3 linked regions of the Coturnix japonica genome follow. The protein of the gene in region 2 binds, or shares a complex with, the protein of the main gene of each other region. Links are inferred from orthologs where the notes say so. Each region holds a gene or a part of one and is shown on either strand. Other genes may lie near its edges.

The links.
Region 1: SYNCRIP (region 2) and GAPDH share a complex: the UniProt entries of both Homo sapiens proteins name them as parts of the GAIT complex. The link is inferred for Coturnix japonica from reciprocal best matches to the Homo sapiens genes SYNCRIP and GAPDH.
Region 3: SYNCRIP (region 2) and IGF2BP1 share a complex: the UniProt entries of both Homo sapiens proteins name them as parts of the coding region determinant (CRD)-mediated complex. The link is inferred for Coturnix japonica from reciprocal best matches to the Homo sapiens genes SYNCRIP and IGF2BP1.

The regions. Positions count from the first base shown.
Region 1 is NC_029516.1:69,304,288-69,308,028, reverse strand, and holds the start of GAPDH (glyceraldehyde-3-phosphate dehydrogenase), read right to left. Parts: upstream 2,718-3,741; 5' UTR 2,594-2,717; intron 2,222-2,593; 5' UTR 2,204-2,221; coding exon 2,181-2,203; intron 1,567-2,180; coding exon 1,467-1,566; intron 1,254-1,466; coding exon 1,147-1,253; intron 1,063-1,146; coding exon 972-1,062; intron 865-971; coding exon 749-864; intron 648-748; coding exon 566-647; intron 397-565; coding exon 245-396; intron 132-244; coding exon 53-131; intron 1-52. UniProt on the Homo sapiens protein: Has both glyceraldehyde-3-phosphate dehydrogenase and nitrosylase activities, thereby playing a role in glycolysis and nuclear functions, respectively.
Region 2 is NC_029518.1:70,014,637-70,018,377, forward strand, and holds the start of SYNCRIP (heterogeneous nuclear ribonucleoprotein Q), read left to right. Parts: upstream 1-1,199; 5' UTR 1,200-1,404; intron 1,405-2,300; exon of another isoform or gene 2,301-2,323; intron 2,324-2,582; 5' UTR 2,583-2,594; coding exon 2,595-2,742; intron 2,743-3,618; coding exon 3,619-3,737; intron 3,738-3,741. UniProt on the Homo sapiens protein: Heterogenous nuclear ribonucleoprotein (hnRNP) implicated in mRNA processing mechanisms. Component of the CRD-mediated complex that promotes MYC mRNA stability.
Region 3 is NC_029542.1:3,037,071-3,040,811, forward strand, and holds the start of IGF2BP1 (insulin-like growth factor 2 mRNA-binding protein 1), read right to left. Parts: upstream 2,853-3,741; 5' UTR 2,366-2,852; coding exon 2,191-2,365; intron 1,195-2,190; coding exon 1,134-1,194; intron 1-1,133. UniProt on the Homo sapiens protein: RNA-binding factor that recruits target transcripts to cytoplasmic protein-RNA complexes (mRNPs). This transcript 'caging' into mRNPs allows mRNA transport and transient storage.

The sequences.
Region 1 (3,741 bases), on a different chromosome or scaffold from region 2:
GTAATTTTAGAGGCAGGCCTGAAGATTCTTCAGTCTTGTCCACAGCACTTACTGGTTTCTCCAGACGGCAGGTCAGGTCAACAACAGAGACATTGGGGGTTGGCACACGGAAAGCCATTCCAGTAAGCTTCCTGCAAGAGATATGTCAGCAAAGAACAGTGTAAGCATGTTCTACCACAAAAGTGTTTGAGCCAGCCACACACTGGCTCCTGCCCCCCATCAGACACAGAAAGAGGACGCTCACCCATTGAGCTCAGGGATGACCTTCCCCACAGCCTTAGCAGCCCCAGTGGATGCTGGGATGATGTTCTGGGCAGCACCTCTGCCATCCCTCCACAACTTCCCAGAGGGGCCGTCCACAGTCTTCTGTGTGGCTGTGATGGCGTGCACAGTGGTCTGTGGAAAGAAGGCCCAGAAGTAAGAAAGCAGTCACTTTCCCCAGAGAAAGCACCCCCAGCACTTCCTCCCAAGCCCAATGGAAGCACTGTGTGTGAATGCTTTTTTCCCCCACACATGGAGGACCTGGGGGCAGGGTATCTTACTGAGCATCAAGCTCCAGACCTACCATAAGACCCTCCACAATGCCAAAGTTGTCATGGATGACCTTGGCCAATGGTGCCAGACAGTTGGTGGTGCATGAAGCATTGCTGGGGGAGAAAGAAGGCACATCAGCCAAGTACAACACATGTATATACGTGCAACAAGACCCGAAGAAAATTCCAGGCCAGGGAGCATTCTTCTCCCTTACCTAACAATTTTCAGGGACTTATCATATTTCTCATGGTTGACACCCATCACGAACATGGGAGCATCAGCTGAGGGGGCTGAGATAATAACACGCTTAGCACCACCCTTCAGATGAGCCTGAAAAACAAAAAAGGAAAGATTAAATTACCCAGAACGGCCCAACAGTTGAGAAGGAATACAATCCTCAGAGCACCTTTTCCCATGGGCCACAGCAGCCTACATACCCCAGCCTTCTCCATGGTGGTGAAGACACCAGTGGACTCCACAACATACTCAGCACCAGCATCTCCCCACTTGATGTTGCTGGGGTCACGCCTGAGAGGGGACAAAACCATGGGAGTTACTCTGGAGGGCACTTACTTTCATTCTCTGGAGCAGCGAGAGAAGAAAGCTACTCACTCCTGGAAGATAGTGATGGCGTTCCCATTGATCACAAGTTTCCCGTTCTCAGCCTTGACAGTGCCCTTGAAGTGTCCGTGTGTAGAATCATATTTGAACATGTAAACCTAGCAGGGAGAGAAAAGAGAAGGGTCAGGCATCCTAGATGCAAAGCTCCCACTACAATACCAGCCATCTTGTCTAACTGCTGCTCTGTATTTTGCTCTGCCCAGCTTTGCATCACTACATCTCATTTCTCTCTTAACCTATGCCAGGTTTCCAAGGGGAGCCCCGCTGAAGGTGCACGCATCGCCCAGAGGGGGCACTGCAAGACAACTCACCATGTAGTTCAGATCGATGAAGGGATCATTGATAGCAACCACTTGGACTTTGCCAGAAAGGACAGCAGCCCTGGTGACCAGGCGGCCAATACGGCCAAATCTGGGGAGAAACAGAGAGGTGGGTGAGGAGGAGCACTGAGGAACATGCTTGGTAAGGCACGGCTGAGCCTATCTGCTACTTCCCCCCAGAGCATCTGTCAGTCGCTGCCTGAATGGAATCCAACAGCAGCGGCCAAAGGCCGAGGAGCCGTGGTTAAAGATTAAGAGCGACCCCCGGGCAGGGCACCCACACCACAAAGGTCAGGCGCTAAATTTACTGAGGGCCCCGGGGATCCGGTTACTCCTCGGTGCGGTGGGAGAAGGTCACGTTCCCGGGGCACGGCCGACACACGATCCACCGGGCGACCTTTCCTCGGGTACCCACTGCCCCGGGGAGCCCCATTAGTGCGGGCAGAGCCCCCGACGGGGCACGCGGGCAGCACCGGCGCTTCCGGGGTGACTCACCCCGACCGTGCGGGGAAGTGACTCAGCACCGCCCCACGGGGCCGTTACTCCCGGTTGGGGGTTGGAGGATGGGGGGGTCTCTCCGCGGCGCCGCGGGGCCCCCCGCCCTTCAGGCGACCTTGTCTCGTGTCGTCCTCCCCCCCCCCACGGGCACGTACATCCCCGCCCGCCCCGCCCGGCGCCTCCCGTCCCGGCTCCGCACTCACTCACCCGTTGACTCCGACTTTCACCATCTCTCCCTTATAGTGTACCTGCGGGGACACGCCAACGCTCAGACGTGCGGTACCGCACGCAGCCCGCCCGCCCCATAACACCCCCCCACCGCACGCACCGGGAGCCGCCCCCCCACCCGCCATCCCTCCCTCCCTCCATCCCCACCGAGCTGTGCCCCCCGCACCTCTCCCCCCACCCCCACCGCCTCCATCTTACGCCGCCCGCCCCCGCCTTTGTGCCCCGGGCACCACGCGGTCCTGCACAGCCCCCTCCCCCCGCCGCACTCCTCGCGGTCCGACGGCCCCGACCCTACGAGGGGCTCAAGCAGACGGGAGGGCGGCCGGCTGGGTGGGTGGGTGGGTAGGGGTGGGGGGAGCCGTTCCTCCGCCCCCGTGCCCCCCGCCCGTTACCTGCTCCTAGTCAACGGCCCCGGCGCGCAGTGAGAAGGTGGCGCAGTGCCGCTCCGCCGCCCTTTATAGACACGGCGGCAGCACCCCGCGCCCCGCCCCGCCGGGCCGGCACCGAATGGCAGCGCGAGGGCCGGGCCGGGGCTACGTGCACGCACGGTGCGGGTGAAGCGGCAGCCCCCCCCCCGCTTCTCTCCCCCTCCCCCCTCGCAACAAAGGGCGGCCGTTGGGTCGAGGGTGGGCTCGGGGGGTTGGGGCCGCACTGCGGGGCTTGTACGGAGTGGGGGTGCCCTTCGGATGGGGGGTGCAGACAAAGCCCCGCGTCGGTGTCCTCGGGTGAGGCTGCGGGGTGCGGCTGCAGCACGATGCGGTGCGGCGGGTGCGGGCTGCATTAATGGCAGCACGCACGGCCGAGAGAGCGCCGTGCTGCGAGCCCGCAGCCTGCCCGCTGCCATAATCAGCCCTCGCACGTGTTGGTCACGCAGCCCCGGGCTGCCGGGGTCCCGCACCCGCTGTCACACCGGCGCTCTCAGGCCGCGCTAATAAGGAACTGCAGCATCTCTTGCGCCGTGACAGCGGATATCCTCATATCCTCCCGCCGCCTCGAGCCGCCGCCGTCCCTCTCCCAGCCCGGCACGTCTGCGCCTGGCAGCCGGGCCCGGGGTGTGGGCAAGAAGCGGTTCTTACGTGTTACGGCTGGGGCTCGTGCGGCCCAAAGAGGGGCCGTGGGATGGAGCCGTGCTGGGTTTATAGCCTCCATCCCCTGCGATGGAGCGGGTGCTCGAAGCCGGATGCCCGGCGGGAGGAGGGGGCGTGCAGGGGTGAGGTGGGCCCCGGCTCCAGCGGTGGGGACGGAGGATGCCGGGGGGAGAGGGTCCGAGCGGGGGGTCACGCAGCTCCCGTAACCCAACGCTCCTTGTACGGCTGCCATTCCCGGAGCACCGAGGGGCAGCGGCTAAGTTTAGCCCCGGCTTGAGGTTACGACCTTTTCTTAAAGGCCAGGGGAGGCGGCGGTGCGGCCCGAAGGGGGCTGCGATCGCGGGGCCGGGGGAGCCCCCCGCACGTCGCGGGGTCAGGGCCGGCAGGGAGAGCGGAGGCCCCTTGTTTGCTCGGCAAACACGGCAGCGGCCGAGGGGCAGAGTGTGGCGGGA
Region 2 (3,741 bases):
TGAAGGTGTCGGGCTGGGCTGTGAGGCAGTAGTTGGTCGATGTGATGCCTCGGAGGAAGTGAGTAATACTTAGCGTTGCCTTCCTGCCTGTGTTTTGTCTTTCTCTGGAGTTGCGGATCTGGCAGAGTTGATGGGGTTGGCTTCGGTAAGGTTTGCAAGCTGGGGCTGTCGGGAGCTGCAATTCAGGAGGCTCCCACATCAGGGACGTACATCTGACAACGCCCTAAACGTGGCTCGATGTGCTTTCCATGTCGGCGTTATTAGGAAGCAAAACGCCAAACGAGCGCACGCTCCGAGGGGCCCCGCTGACAGCCCATTTCCCGGCCTCGCCTTTCCGAATAACGGCGGTGCCCTCGGGGAGATCCCCGCTCTGAGGAACCGCTGGGGGAGCGGGCGGGGCTGGGAGAGAGGGGGAGCGCGGTGATGAGGGGACGGCCGCGTGTGGGGAGCCGCTGCCCCCATGAGGTGGGGCGGGGAGCGGCGCCTCCCTGTTGGAGGCTGGGCGCCGTGCTGCGGGCTGGCCGGCAGCCACACAAAGCGCCGCTCTCCCCTCCCTTTGTCTGCGTGGCTTTGTCTCTATCACAGTCTCACAGTCTGGTGCGGGTTGGAAGGGACCTTAGAGATCATCGAGTCCAACCCCCGGGATTCGAGCCCTGTGTAGCAGAGCGGCACTTCGACCACTTGCGCCACAGGGGGATTCGAACCGGGGTCTCCGGCGTTGCAAAGTGCCTCCGGCCGCGGCCCTCCCCTTCGTGCCACCTGCGCACCGTGGGAACGGCCGCTCACCCCCTGGTGTCCCTCCCGCCGCGGAGCTCCGTGGCGCGGCGCTTTGTCACCGCTTTTATTGTCTGTTCTATGCGAGCGGTTCCCGCACAGGTGTGTCGGAGCTGCGGGAGGCGCCGCCTGCCGCGCCCCGCCGTCCTACAACCCGGCGCGTCCCGCCGCCTCAGCCGCCTCCTCCTCCTCCTCCCCTGTCGGCAGCGCGCAAGTCCACGCGTGCGCGAGCCCCGCGCGCTCCCGCCGTGCCGGGAGGGGGCGGCGCCGCGATGGGGGAGGGAGGGGACGGCGGGGCGGGAGCGCGCGCAGCCCGTCGGGCGGGGCGAGGCGATAACCCTTGCGGAGCTGCCTGGGAGACCCCGGGTTTGGGGCTGCGCCAGCGCGCGCGGCGCCTCCTCCTCGCTTCCCCCCCCCGGCTCCCCCCCCCGCCCCCCCGAGCCGAGTGGAAGGGGCTGGGGTTGGTGCCAGCAGCGGCGTGAGCGCTCGAGCGGCCGCCATTTTACGCCAGCTCCAGCACACTGTCCGGACACGCCGAGGGAGCGGAGAAGGGGGGCAGCTCCTCAGCACGCCGAGCCGCCAGCCGCGCCCCGAGCCCCTTCGCACGGCGTTTCGCCCCCGCAGCCGCAGGTCAGCGCCGGGCCGGGGGCTGCACTCGGAGCGGGGCCGGGAGCGGGGCCGGGCCCGGCTGAGGCGGCGGAGGGGCCGAGGGGCGGGGGGCACTCGGCGCTGCCGGGCGGCGCCGCGCTGCGGGCGGAGGAGCGGAGCGGCCGTTTCGGGCGGCGGACGGAGGGCGCGGCGGGTCGGGCCGGGGCGGCGGGTAGGCCCGGCGGGCGGGGGGGGACGGCCCCGTGCGGGACGCGTGGCTCCGCTTCATTGTCCCGCCGGCCCCGCCGCGCCATTCATTACCCGACACGGGCCGCGCCGCCGGAGCCGCCGGGCTCGTTCGCCTCCCGGGGCGGAGCGCGGTGGCGGCTGCCCGGGCCGGGGGTGCCGCGGGCTTGGCGGCGCGGCCCCGCATTGTTTCGGGGGAAGCGCGGCTCGGCGGCGGCGGCGCGGCCGGGAGGCGCGTGGAGCGGCCGGGCCGGTGGTGAAATCGGGCCCGCGGTGTCGCAACCGCGATCCGGGGGGAATCGGGCGAGAGGTGGGGAAGGGCCGGGGCGCGGGCGGGGGGGAGCCGCTCCTCCTGCTCCCGGGAGCGCGGCGGGGAGGGGGAAGTCGGTCACTGGAGGAAGTTGTAGGACATCTGAGCGCGCAGAGCACGTGTTTCCAGCGGGCTCATGGCGGCCGCCGCTGCCGCCGTGGGAGGGTGCGGGCCGGAACGGGCGCTTTGTTTCTACGCCGGCCCGGCCCGGTCCGGACGGCGGCGCGGGCGGGAGGGGAGCGCGACCGCGAGGGGTCGGGGGGCGGGGGGGGCGGGCGGGCGGGCGGTGGTGGTGGTGAAGGAACGCGGCGGTTCGCTGCTTAACGCCCCCGCCGCTGGCTCCGGGCTCCGTCCCGAACTTGTTGGGAGCTTCTCGGGGAGCGCGTTACGGAGACAGCGGGCGAGGTGAGTCAGTGTCTGGCTGCGTTGTGTAAAACCTGCAGTGAGAGCCACCCCGCCCCCGCCAGGCAGCGGCGTTAGGGCTTCCCTTTGTGTCAAGGCTCCTTTTGAGGAATTCCGTGCGGCTCTGGAAGCTGGAAGTATCCGGGAAGTGCTCCGCTGTCTCTTTACGAGAATTGGGTGGGCTGCTGCACGTGCTGTCACTTGAATTGTTCTGCTGGAAGGTGTTTGCAGCTTAACGATTCTGCTTCTCGCGTTTGAACAGATATCTGGAAACATGGCTACTGAACATGTGAATGGGAACGGTACTGAAGAGCCAATGGACACTTCTGCTGCGGTTACCCATTCTGAGCACTTCCAGACGTTGCTTGATGCTGGTTTACCACAGAAAGTTGCTGAAAAACTAGACGAAATTTACGTGGCAGGTAAGCAGTGAAACTTGCCAAACCTTCCTAGGTCCTAGAATATTTCACTGGCTTCTGCTGCTGTCTTTGGGCTATCTGAGCAACTTCATGTGGTTTTTAGAAGTACAAGAACTACAGTCTCAACAAAATACATGGTGTTTTTTTGTGCTTGTTTTCTTGTTTGTTTTTATCATTCAGTGTTTTAGTTTATCATGATGTTTCCCAGAGAGCAGTCTGGGCCAAGCTGCTTGGGGTGGGTGGTGGGAAAGAGAAGTATGAGTATAAGCATAGTATTACCTGGGATAGGCAACAGCTGACACTTAGAAGGAGCAGGTGATATGGGCTTTGTGAGCTTTTAGTGTAGTTGTAGATAATGTCAAGTCACTGAAGCCTTGGTAGACATCATCTGATGTAAATGATGCTTTGTGGCATGGTACTGGAGCTCATAGATTGTCATTGTATTCTGCCTGTCAGGCATGGCAGTAGCATAGTAAAGCTTGATTTTGGTGCTGTAGTTGCTTTGAGTGCTGCAGTTTGCAGTCTCCTCCCAGTCATCACAGTACGTTGCTCATCAAGCCAAGTCAGTTTTTGATAGATCCTTTAGAGTTCAACTTAAGGATACCAAAACTAAACCTGCCCCGCGTGACATGAGAATTCAAATACATGAATGCATTAACTCTTAGTCTAATTCTTATGATTTTAATACTTCTGGATGAAAGTAAGCAAAGTGCACTTAAATTTTAACTTAGGGAACTGAGTGATTTCTTAGTTATAGCAACTTACTTTTAGCCAGCAATTGGTTTAGGGGACACTGAAGTATATTAGGTGTGTTAAATATGATGAAACAGAGATTGCTACCCAAATGTAATTAGTAATTTTTTTTTTTCTTTTCTCTAGGGCTAGTTGCACATAGTGATCTAGATGAAAGAGCAATTGATGCTCTTAGGGAATTTAATGAAGAAGGAGCCCTCTCTGTATTACAGCAGTTTAAAGACAGTGATCTCTCACATGTTCAGGTAA
Region 3 (3,741 bases), on a different chromosome or scaffold from region 2:
TACAGGGGACATTATTAAATGGAGTTCTGCCTTTAGGGTCGGCTCCACCGCGGGGCATGGCCCCCTGCAAGGAAAGGATTGCTGCCAAACCCCACAGCCTCCCAGTGGGGCCAGGTCTACACAGGCTCCCCAAAGGGGTCCTCAGCCAGCAGAAAAAAAACAAGAGTTTGGGGAAGGAAGAGTTTCCTTCTACACCATGTTGAGCGCCGGGGCGGCCGCCCCATCACGTGGCGGAGCGGCTGCATGGCCCAGCGCGGGCACCAGGCCCTGAGGAGAGCTCACCCAGCTCTAGGGAAGGGATCAAGATCAACCCAAAGACCCCCACACACAACAGTGAATCCCCCCTGGGCCCAGCAGTTCACTGCCTGAACCCTCAGGGCCCTCCAGGCCCAGCGTCCCGCGCGCCCTCAGCAACAAAGGGCCAAGAAGATGGGGAGGGCTGGGTAGGCCGAGCTGGGCCGCAACGCCTGGGGAAAGCATGAAGAAATGGGGTTCCAGCCCTAAAAAACAACAAGTTGAGGGGCAACAAGGAGCTAAACCAGCACCCCACACAGCCGGGCTGAAAACCTCACACCAACACGCAACCAGCCCCATTTTTATTTAATTACTGATGTTCGTTTTTAAACCCTCGCCCTCCATCCCAGGCAAATTTCACCCGTAAATGACAAAATAAGCAAAGAGGGTGTTTAAAAACTTGGAAATAACAAAAGGTTTTGGGGTCCTTCTCATGGAGCAACACTGGGAAATTCTTCCAGTGCCACAAGTTTGAAAATTCCAACCCCAAACGCCATTCATCACTTGGGTGAATGGAAGGCGAATCGTCGGGACCCAGGGTTGTTTTTTGGGGTTGTTGGTCTTATTTTTTCCTAACAAACAAACTGAAGCAAAACTTAATCCCAAAGAAAAGTTTCCTTTAAAAATACACTAAAGATACGAAAGGGAACGCTGATCCTCAGAGCCGTTCCTCACCTCGCTGGGCCATACCCAAAGCCAAACCACCACCATATCTCCTTCCACATGCACATATTTGGATATAATTTTTTTGCCTCCTTCCTCTTACGTTATTATTTCCCCCTCCTCCCCCCCTCCAAAAAATAAAACATAAAGAAAAAGTAATTAAAACACCGTATTACCTTTGCTTTTTAGGTACTGAGTGTTCAATCTCTAGCTGTTTTCCATGCAGCTCCACTTTCCCTAAAAACAAAATGTGGCTGTTTTGTATGATCTGGGTGGGGTGGTCAGAAAGCTTTGGGTAACATTCTATCATGTAAAACTTCCCATTTCATTCCAATCACTACAAGCTGCATTAAAAAAGGCTTTTTCGTGTGTGCGTGTGATCATAAGTGTGCTATATTAAATATAAGGCTGACTTCTAATGCGGAGCAATGAGTTCGCCGTCTGAACAATGTTCCTTAGGAATATTTAATCCCGTCCTTCATTCAGCTCTGCTCCGAGCGAAAGAAAACGAGGCAGAATATATTGAGATCAATTTTTTTTTCCCCCCTCGAATTCCACGCGTTTGAGCCGTTCACAACAACTCCGGCCAGATCATTCCTCATCCCCATTAAAAAGGGGCTCAAAAATTGTTTAACTCCACGCTACGAATGGATTTCTCTTGGAAAATGGGGGCGGATTTCCACACCGCCGGTTTATATATTAATTGGGGGGGGGAGGGAAGGGAAAAGAAGAGGGGAGCAGCAATGGGGAGAGCCCGGAGGGAGCAGCTTTAGGCGAGGGGAAAATATTCCAACGTTTTCAAAAATTCACTGTTTCCCGGGGAGCTTTTCTTTCCACCCCCCCCCTTCCTTCCCTTCCCACTCTCCCCCCCCTCCGTCTTGCGAGCAGCATGGCGACCTTCGCGCTCCTCTGCGCATCACATGCCCCAGGAAACCCAGTTTGAAATCAAAATGGCCAAAGTCCCACCCCACTGTCGCGACGGGACCCCCGCATCGAACACCACCGGGACGGGCACCGTGTAACCCCCACGAAGCCATTGGGAACAGTGGGGACCCCTCTCCTTCTCTCCCCCCTCCAAGTGCTCGCTGTTAATGGGGTAGAAGCGGGGTCTGCCCCGCTCGCTGATACAAACCCCGACGGAGCGTAACGGCCCGAACCCCCCCCTATTCCCCACCCGAATCCCGACCGGATCCCGCAACTCTCCGATCGAAAGAACCGAAGGACACCGCTTACCCGAAAAAGTTTCGATGGCTTTCATGGCCCATTGCTCGTCGGGGCAGTCCACAAAGGCATAACCGGACTTAACCAAAAACTGCCCGCTGAAAGAAATCTTATGGTCGTTGAAGACTTTTTCCAAGTCGGCCGGAGTCACGCTCTCATTTAGGTTCCCAATATACAGCTTGTTCATGGTGGCTGCCGGCGGGGGGCGGCGGGCGGGCGGTGGCGGCGCGCCGGGGCTCGGAGCGCGGCTGCCGGGGGGGCTCCCACCGTACGCCCGCACCGTCGGACAGCAGCCGCCGTCTGCCACCCCACAGCCGGGTTTGAAGCTCGGTGGTCCTTTTCTTTGCACACTCCCTCCCCCCTCCTTTGCTTTTTTTTTTGTTTCGGGGTGGGGTTTTTTTTGTTTTTTTTTTTTTTTTTTTTTTTTTTGGTCGTTTGGTGGAGTTTTCCTCGTAGAGGGGCGCGGCGGCGGCTGCTGCTGTTAGAGGTGGGGGGTCCTAAAGAAGAGGGGGGTGGCTGCAATAGGCGACGGCTGCGGGGAAGGAGGCGGTGGCGGCGCCGGCTGCGGGGGCCCCCAAAGCGGCGGAGCGGCACCGGAGTGTCACCGGACGCCTTTGGGCAGCCGGGCACCGCCTCTAAATAAAACCGACCTGGAAAATGAGTGAAAATGTTTGCGGGAGGAAGCCACGTGGTGATGCAGGAGGGCCCAGCCCCCGGGGGGGAGGGGCCGGACGATGGGGGTGGGAGGGAAGGGGAGGGGGGGGGGAGGGGGCAGCTTCCACTTAATTATTTATTTTAATTTAAATACTACGTTATTTACCTCCACACATACACACACACACACCCCTCTTCGGATCGGGGAGCGCACCCACTCCGTGTTCTCTTCACTACCACCACCACCATCCCCCCCTTCTCATCACCCCCCCACTCCACCCTTCGGGCCCCGCCCGTCCCGTCCCGTCGGAGGCACTTTCCCATCTGTGCAGCCTCCAGCCCCCATCGCGCCCCTCCCCCTACATCTCTCCCATCCCCCACCCCCCCTTCCCCCCGGTGCCTGAATGGGATTTTTCTGGGTGTAAAAAAAAAAAAAGAAAAAAAAAGAAAATAAAAAAAGAAAGAAAAAAAGAAGAAGAAGAAAAAAAAAATCCAACTTCAGCATCAAAGGGGCCGGGAGGTCCCCTGGCGCCAGGGGAGCGGGGCTGCAGGGGAACGGCCCGACCCGGCGGGGTGAGCGGAGGAGCCCCCGGGGAGGGCTATTGTCCCCGGTATTGTTTTAAGCCCTTCATGTGCAGCCCTGCGGAAGCCTTCGGGGAAGGGGGAAGGCTCCTCCTGGCACAAAAGGGCCCCACGGTGCAGCGGGATCGCTCCCCCCGAGACACAGGGGGGGGGGGGGGGGGGGAGACGACGCGTCCCGTCGGCAGAGAGAAGCAGCCCCCCATCCCCCCCGTCCCTAGAAACCCTCCCTCCTCTTTCCCTCTTCGCCTTTTCTGGAGGCTTTTTATTTTTAGGTTCGAGATGGATTGAAAATAGCAGCGACCCCCCCCCCCCCCATCACCACCACCA